Linked DNA regions of Lonchura striata. The protein of the gene in region 1 binds, or shares a complex with, the protein of each later gene. Links are inferred from orthologs where the notes say so. Each region holds a gene or a part of one and is shown on either strand. Other genes may lie near its edges.

Region 1 (3,912 bases):
GAGAAGGCTCTCCCTGTCCCAAAATATTACAGTTGGAGCTTTGTCAGTGGTTCCTTAAGAGGCAGGAGAGAGTCTTTAGGTGCAGGGTACAAATACCTTTGATAGCTCTGTACAAGTCACGGCACTATTCAGCCTGTACCAGCTACCACTCAGCTATCTTCTAAAATTCACCCCTTCAGGTTAGCTCCTCCAGCCTGACACCATGGCAAGCAGGCTCAAAACACATCACAAAGCCAGGGTGAGGCCCTAGCCTGGCAATAGTTTAAGCACACAATTTTATTGTAATTTCAAGTGGCCTTGATTTTGCTAACTTGTTCTTGGGCATATTTTCAACATATAGTTGCTTTTGTTGGCTTGGAGAGGTTTTTGTTGCTTTTTTTAAAAACTACATATTAATACTAATATTGAGATATTTACTTCTGTAGAGGTGCTTTGTAATGACAGAGTGTGTTTTATTTACTATGCATATATTCAGGTTAAGCACATTCGCTTTTTTCATGCCTACACTGTACAGGACTATGCTAATTTTGAAAGATTTCTTATTAATCTTCTCTCATATAATTAGACTTCAAAGGCCAGTACTTTATGCTGAAACTGAAGATGCTTTGGCTTTGAGAAGGGGAAGCATTAGCAGCTGAAAGCCCCTGTGCACACATTCTGTGGTGTTCTCCCTGCAATGTGTAATACTTTCTTCAAACTGAAAATCTATTTCTACAGCTCAGTCATATTCATCCACAGTAGATGAAATACCACTGTATTCATTCAGGGAAAGCAGGATTCAGTTTATGTGTGAAAACTTGTGTTTCTTCTTCATTTGCCAGGTTGGATTTGTTCCACTATGAACAACCATTTAGAAATGTTGTCCTTTGTGCTCTGCATGCCTTGGTTTCACCAGAGTTGGATAACATTACAGCCTCAATTTGCACATCACAATTAAGCTGATGTAATATATATAAAACTGAGCAGAACATAAAATTGTTTGTTCAAATTAAATGCTTCAGGTACATGTATTGAACTTGCCAGTTGAAGAACTGACTTAAGCAATCCATATTTGCTAGAGCAGTCCTATCCCTCTCAAATGAAAATCACAGCCTAAGGAGAAATCCTGCAACTGAAGGCAGCTGGCACAGAAACAGCAAGATATCAGCAGGTAGCAACTGGTGCTCCAGATCCTGTTTACCAGCAAGCAGAGGACCATACGCTGAAGGCTGCAATTATTAGTCCAGAAAAATGTGACAATGTGCTTAAGCAGAGAAGCCCTTAAATATCCATATTCAGGCACCCTTAATTATTACTTTTTCCTACCTGGGTTCTCATGCCTTGCTCCCTAACCACCTGCTTTTGCTGAAGTCAGAGGTAACTCTCTCATCAACTTCAACTGGGGCAAGACATGGCACCACAGGGACCAGGCAGCATGAAGCACATTTTACTCTTAACACCAAACAGATTATTTATGCCACTTTCAAGTGCACTGCACATTTTAAAGAACCACAATACTTCATCTGAAGCCCGAACAACTTGTTGCTTTGTTGTACTTTATTGAGTCAAACTCCTCACACAGCACTACAAGAAATTAAGTTATGGTGACAGGGAAAGCAGCAGAGCATTCGGACTTAGCATTCTGCAACAAGGAAATCTGACAGGGAGACCCCACTAATTGCCAGAACAACTCTCCCCACTTATCCCATGCAATCTCTGTTCTGACCTCTCTGTGATATTGAACATATATGAATGTAAATCCCTTGGACATCCCTCAGCTATAAAAAAAGTCACAAAGAGTTTGTGCCCTCTCCCTTTGTGGCACAAACTCACCCCTGCTGTTTCTCCTCCCAACAGTGCCAAGTCTCTCCACATACCCAGAAGTGGCCCTATGGCTCATGGACACCTTTTCCACCCCTGTGTCCCTCCCATCCTTTTACACTTGCCCCACCTTGGCATAGCAGAAGGAGATGAGCAGCAGTGGGAGCAGGTATCCGAAGACAAATGTGCAAATCACGTAGACCTTCTTGTGGCGTGGGTTGGGCCAGAACTCCCAGCAGAAGGTCTGGTTGCTGGTCTCGCGGTGGAAGATGCGCTGGTGGTGAGCCACAGGCGAGGCCATGGCGAAGGAGAGCGCCCAGATGAGCCCCACACCCAACATTGCGTTGCGGGGAACACGCAAGGCTGAGGAGCGTCGGGAGTGCACGATGGCCACGTACCGGTCCACAGACATGGCCGAGAGTGTGAAGATGCTCACCAGCATGGAGATGGTGAAGAAGTAATGGATGAACTTGCAGATGAAGGCTCCCAGCACCCAGGTGGGGAGCACGTAGACTGTGGACTGGAAGGGAATGCAGAAGAGCAGGTAGGCCAGGTCAGCGATGCTCAGGTTGAGGATGAAGATGTTGGTGGTGCTTCGGCGCTTGCCTGGCTTGCTCCTCGCCAGCACCGTGATCACCAGCGTGTTGCCCAGCACCCCCAGGGTGAAGATTAAGCCGAAAACGATTAAGGTGATGAAGTTCTCGATGCCGATGCCAAAGAGGGGTTTCCCCTCCGCCTCCGGCAGCCCGGACAGGTTGAACTCCCCGCGGAGAGTCTCTGCCGCGGTTCGGGACAGGTTGAGGGGCGCCGCCGGGGGATCTCCTGGCTCCATCCTTCTTCCTGCGCGCCGGGCAAAGTTTCCGCGGGCGGAACGCGGAGCCGCCGCTCCCCGGCTCCTCGGAGCGCGGCGAGCCCGGAGCGGCCGCCCCGCCGGCACCGGGCGGCGGGGAGGGAAGGCGGAGGTGCCGCCGCGCTGGGCGCAGCCTGCGCTGCCGGTCGCGGAGCCGGCGCGGCGGCCCCGCCGCCCTCCGCAGCAGCGCTCCGCCCGCCCCGGCGGGGACCCGCGCCCGCCCCGCCCGCAGAGCCGCGGAGCCTCCGCGCCTCCCGCGCTGCCTCGGAGGCTGAGCTCCCCGGGAACGCGTCCTCGGAGAAAGGGGAGGTGCGGTTTTCTTGCCCTCTTTATTTCCCCCCGCCTTTTCTTCCCACCCCTCAGCTTGTGAGTGCCCCCCACCCAGGGGGGCAGCCGGGGCCCCGGTCCTCTCCCCGGAAAACTTCGCTCGGTGCCTCCGCTCCGGGAGAGGCTCGGGAGCCGCGTCTCCCAGCAGGGCTAGGCGGCGCTCGGCTGGTCCGGCCGGGCATCGATGTAGTCGCTTGGAACGACAGAAATGATGAAGCGCCCGCGTGAACCCGCCTCAACAGGTAGCCGGCAGCAGGAGTTTCTCCGGACTGAGCGCCACCTGTGCTCGCTCTTCTCACCTCCTTCACGGATTTCCTCCATTAATCACGCAGTATCTCAAATGGCAAAAGGCGGCAGACGCTGTCACGCCTTCCTATTAAAAACCAACCAACCAAACACACACACACACACAGCAATGGAATAATAGCAAGTCTAGCCGCTTTTCACTGCCAAGTCACGACGCTCGAGAGCTCCGCCGCGGCAGGAGCGCATCCGTGCTGAGTGCCCGCGGGCTCCCTGGAGCCGGGCAGCCGCGGGCAGCGCGACACGGGGCCGAAACAGGAGCTCCTGGAAAGCCAGTCCCTTCAGAGCGGGGCGAAACACAACACTGCTCCAGCACACGGATGCGAGGTCATGAGAATATTCTCACCGGCACATACACCTTGTGAACGAAATGGGTTTTGGTTTGCTTCCAAATTACCAGTCAGTGAGCTACAGCTGGCAGCAGCAGTGACCAACACAATTGCCCAGATGTGCTGATGGAGGCAGCCAGCTTTTGGTTACGTATTTTTCAGTCTGCAGTTTGGCGGGGGTTTCTTCTACCTTTCTTTTTGCTATTTATATTGAAGCATCTTAGCAGCTGCACATCAGCTGACTGCAAAGTCATCGACTTCTGCAGATCTAGATTTTAATTAAACTAATGTATGGTCTGCTCC
Region 2 (3,912 bases), on another chromosome or scaffold:
TATGACAATATAAAGATCACAATGAGTGGCCAAATGTAATTTTCTTCCTTTCATATGTTTATTAGGATTTCTGTTGAAATGCAGAAATAGTTTTGTATCCAAGTAGTCAGTTAAAGAGTAAATAAATTACTTGATATAAAAAACAAATCAAAAATGCTTGTTTCCAGACCTTCATTACCTGCTTTAATATCCTCATCGGGTGGTACTTCACGTTTACCAGTGAAACCATGCTTGTCATTAAAAGATCTGTGGTTATCTACTGCATCTGATAAATAAGTTAAAAATCAGAGGAGTTAATTGACTCAGTAAAAGCTGATCAATATGACCTGCAACAAAGGATGATTCCTATTATCCAGTCTTAGATGCAAAATAGAAGTCTTTGACAAGCACATTTCCCCACAGTGTTTTTTCCAATTTGCTTAGATGTGCTTTGGGCAAATATACTTCCAGACATTTACAGAAGCAGTAAAGATGCATTTAAGATGCATTAAACTTCTTTTCTTTTTTTATGTCTCCTTATTGTTAGCTAAAAATAATGAAGAGTATCAGAGTAAGTATGTGTAGTATTTGTCTATGTGTTACTGAGATTGAAAATACAGAAACATTGGTGATGAATGTAACCACATTCACAAGAATTAATGGTAAAAGGACAAACATTTGAGACAGCTTAGTTCTGCATTACTTTCCTTACAACCTGCATTTGTTATCTCCACCCGTAAACCAGTACTCCTGTATTTCAAACACCTTGTATATTGATTTTTCACATAGTGAACTGTTAACAGTCTTGAGTTTGCAAGTTACTGTTTTAATTTATTTTGCTTTAATTAAAAAAAAAGTAGTCTTATAAAGTCAAGTAGTGAAATTTTGTAAAAAGATTTAAAGGTGAGATCTGAAATACATGGAGAGGTACACATTTTGTTATTCTGACCATGATGTATATGATGCTATAGGGTTTTTTGACACTTTTTGTGGTGACATATTTGTCATATGAAAATTACAGTTCAGAAGCACAAAATGTGAGCAGATGTGTTTCTGGACATAAGGCCTCCCATCATCACACTTCCTTAGAAAAGAACAGCTGTTGTCTCAGACACCTCAGTTCTATGATAAGCATGTAACAAACATATAAACAAGTATTTTTCCAAATGAGTTTGTTGCAGATTTAGATAAAATTGTTGTATACAGAGAAGTGAATAACACAATATTTGCATTTTGAAATAATGAATAAAAGAAGTGCCTCACTTACGTGGCCCGAGTAGATAACCAGCACTATTCAAAGTCCAACCCCTTTTGTCTTTCGCCTTAAAGGAAAAAACCACAAGTATGTTATTGCTCGACCTACACTCAAAAGGACATTCTCTTAGCAGAAAGAATTTTTTGAAGGCTCAAAATTAAGAAAAAAATATTTTAAAACAAAGCAAATCATATTGAAGTAAATATTCATGGTGAGCTCTTGCTCCCTCCCTGTCTAAGTCTATAGTGTTGCTATTGACTTCCATGTGGTTTGACTGTTTCACACCCACGTAAGTGATGACTGCAAATCACACTTCAGAGGCAGAAATTTCGACTTTATACGTGAAGTTTATATTACCATCTGATAGCCACCTTAGCAAACGGCAGTGCTTCTTTTTCTTGCTCGGATTTACATGACAGCCTCTTCATAAAAGAAGTCCATATGTACATCATCCTTTGGGAGGAAGGTGGGACACCCATTCAATTTTGGGCTAGCAACTATACATTCTTAGTCATAGCAATTTTTTTTTTACAAGAGAGCTAGTATTCAAAAGCTCCAAATTATTATCTGAGAAGGAAGGAAGGAAGGAAGGAAGGAAGGAAGGAAGGAAGGAAAGAAGGAAAGAAAGAAGGAAAGAAAGAAGGAAAGAAAGAAAGAAGGAAAGAAAGAAGGAAAGAAAGAAGGAAAGAAAGAAAGAAGGAAAGAAGGAAAGAAGGAAAGAAGGAAAGAAGAAAGAAAGAAAGAAAGAAAGAAAGAAAGAAAGAAAGAAAGAAAGAAAGAAAGAAAGAAAGAAAGAAAGAAAGAAAGAAAGAAAGAAAGAAAGAAAGAAAGAAAGAAAGAAAGAAAGAAAGAAAGAAAGAAAGAGGCAAACTGTTTATAGCCCAAAATGGTTTTGAGTGCTGTACCCTTTGTAATCCTATCTAAGAGCAGTGTGTATCCGTGGGAGGTTCGCGGTCCCTCGCTGGCTGAGACGCGGATACTTACTGAGAAAACCAGCCCGAGTGTTTCCGAGAGGGCGGCACAGAGGATTAAAGCCAGAAGCAGGAAAGCGGTGCACCTCTGCATCTGGAACAAAGCGCAGCGGGTAAACGCTGGCTGGGAAGTGGGTGGGCACGGGCTCCCGGGGCCGGGCAGCCCAGCTCCCGGCGGGAGAGGGGCCGGGGCCGCGGGTACCTTGTTCTGGGCGCTGTGTCCCTCGCGGAGCCGGTCCCACGGCGGGCTCTCGCTGCGTGGCCGCGGCCCCGCCGCGCTTTATGGCCGCGCCGGCGGAGCCGCGGCCGCCCCCGCCTCCCCCCGCCTCCCCCGGCCATCCATCCCCTCGCCGCTCCGGGAGGGCAGAAATCCCGGCAATCCAATGAGAGCTGCTCGGGAGCGCCCCGCGGGGAGCCGGGAGCTGCCGTCGCATCACCCCTGCCCTGTGCCTGCGCCTCCGCCCGCGGCATCGGGGGACAAGGGGGGACAGGGACGCGGCAAGGGAGCGCACATCACTTGTCACAGACTCGGGTACGGGACAGTGCCCGAGAGAAGGCACCCGAGAGAAGGACTCCGCTCTGCTTCCGAGCCCCGCCGCTCCCTGCGGTTCACTCGCGGCCCCTGCAATCCCTCTGGCCCGTGCCCGCTGTCCAGCAGCAGGGAGAGGAGCTGCGGAGGCTCTGCGCTTCCTGCCGCTCTGTGCCCGAGACAGCGCTCCTTTCAGGGTTATATCTTTTATATATAAAAGCCTGGGATTTAGCTCTCTCTAGTGACCGCACTAGCCCTGGCCTGTGCGTTTGTTTCGCCAGTTCGCTGATCTGAGATGGTATCGGGATGTGCAAAACTGAATTACAAAGCAGAAACTCCCATATTAGTTCCATTCCCCACCCCCCCCCCGCTAAATTGCACTTTCTCTACAACAAATTATTTATTCACTGCAAGTCCCTCAAATTCATTTCTCTTTCAATGAGAAAACACCAGAAATGTTGCACAGAATAAGTTATAGTTACAGCTCCTTTTCCAGAAACTGCTAGAGAGTCTCTGCAAACTTTTTAGTTTAAAAGCAAACTTTTTTTTACTTAAACGTAGCCTAATGTTCACAATCCAAGATAGAAGCAGCAGCTGTGTCTTGTATTTCTATTTCCTACCCTCTTTTGTTGGATGCAGTAGGGTTGTAATAGTCTAGCCTTGTCTTTGGGTCTCTGAGCAAAAACTGCTGGGATAAAGTTTATTTTATGCAATTCTTAAATGCTGATTTATATACATGGGAAGCTCAGCTTTTCAGAGGTTATTTGGTACTGTTTATCATTTGCTGAAGGTGTTCTCTCAGCTATTGCATGATCCTCACAATTCAGATTAGATAGAAGATGAAAATAGCAATATAATTTTTGCAAAGTGATGTGGTCCTCTATCTTATCAAAAGTGCACTTTTGACTGAAATTCCCTAGCTTTCAGCTGTTAACCTCCACTAAGTAATTTTTGAAACATGAAGGTTCTTTGTGCCACAAAATGTTTTCTTTTGTTATGTTATTTGAAAAAAAAACCAAAGAAGTTACATCAAGAGATGCCAAATTTTGCCTTCAAGAAATGTTACAAAAATGCGTTAATTCTGTGAGCTTTGACTAATTTTATTTTTGATCTTCCCATAAAATGTATTTGAAACATTTTTGAACCTGCAGTTTTCATTCTGATTTTTCATCTATAGT

Evidence for each region.
Region 2: the proteins of GALR1 (region 1) and GAL are in contact, whole or in part, in a cryo-EM structure (PDB 7WQ3), measured with the Homo sapiens proteins. The link is inferred for Lonchura striata from reciprocal best matches to the Homo sapiens genes GALR1 and GAL. Residues at the interface, in NP_001471.2 of Homo sapiens: Glu32, Gln92, Thr94, Val95, Tyr96, Leu98, Pro99, Thr100, His112, Gln174, Phe177, Arg180, Gln184, Phe186, Cys187, Trp188, Glu189, Gln190, Ile266, His267, Ala270, Phe275, Leu277, Ser281, Phe282, Arg285; in NP_057057.2 of Homo sapiens: Gly33, Trp34, Leu36, Asn37, Ser38, Gly40, Tyr41, Leu42, Leu43, Gly44, Pro45, Val48.

What each region holds. Positions count from the first base shown.
Region 1 is NC_134603.1:59,681,625-59,685,536, reverse strand, and holds the start of GALR1 (galanin receptor type 1), read right to left. Parts: upstream 2,734-3,912; 5' UTR 2,633-2,733; coding exon 1,931-2,632; intron 1-1,930. UniProt on the Homo sapiens protein: Receptor for the hormone galanin. The activity of this receptor is mediated by G proteins that inhibit adenylate cyclase activity.
Region 2 is NC_134608.1:43,945,758-43,949,669, forward strand, and holds the start of GAL (galanin peptides), read right to left. Parts: upstream 2,472-3,912; 5' UTR 2,408-2,471; intron 2,300-2,407; coding exon 2,219-2,299; intron 1,302-2,218; coding exon 1,247-1,301; intron 266-1,246; coding exon 170-265; intron 1-169. UniProt on the Homo sapiens protein: Endocrine hormone of the central and peripheral nervous systems that binds and activates the G protein-coupled receptors GALR1, GALR2, and GALR3.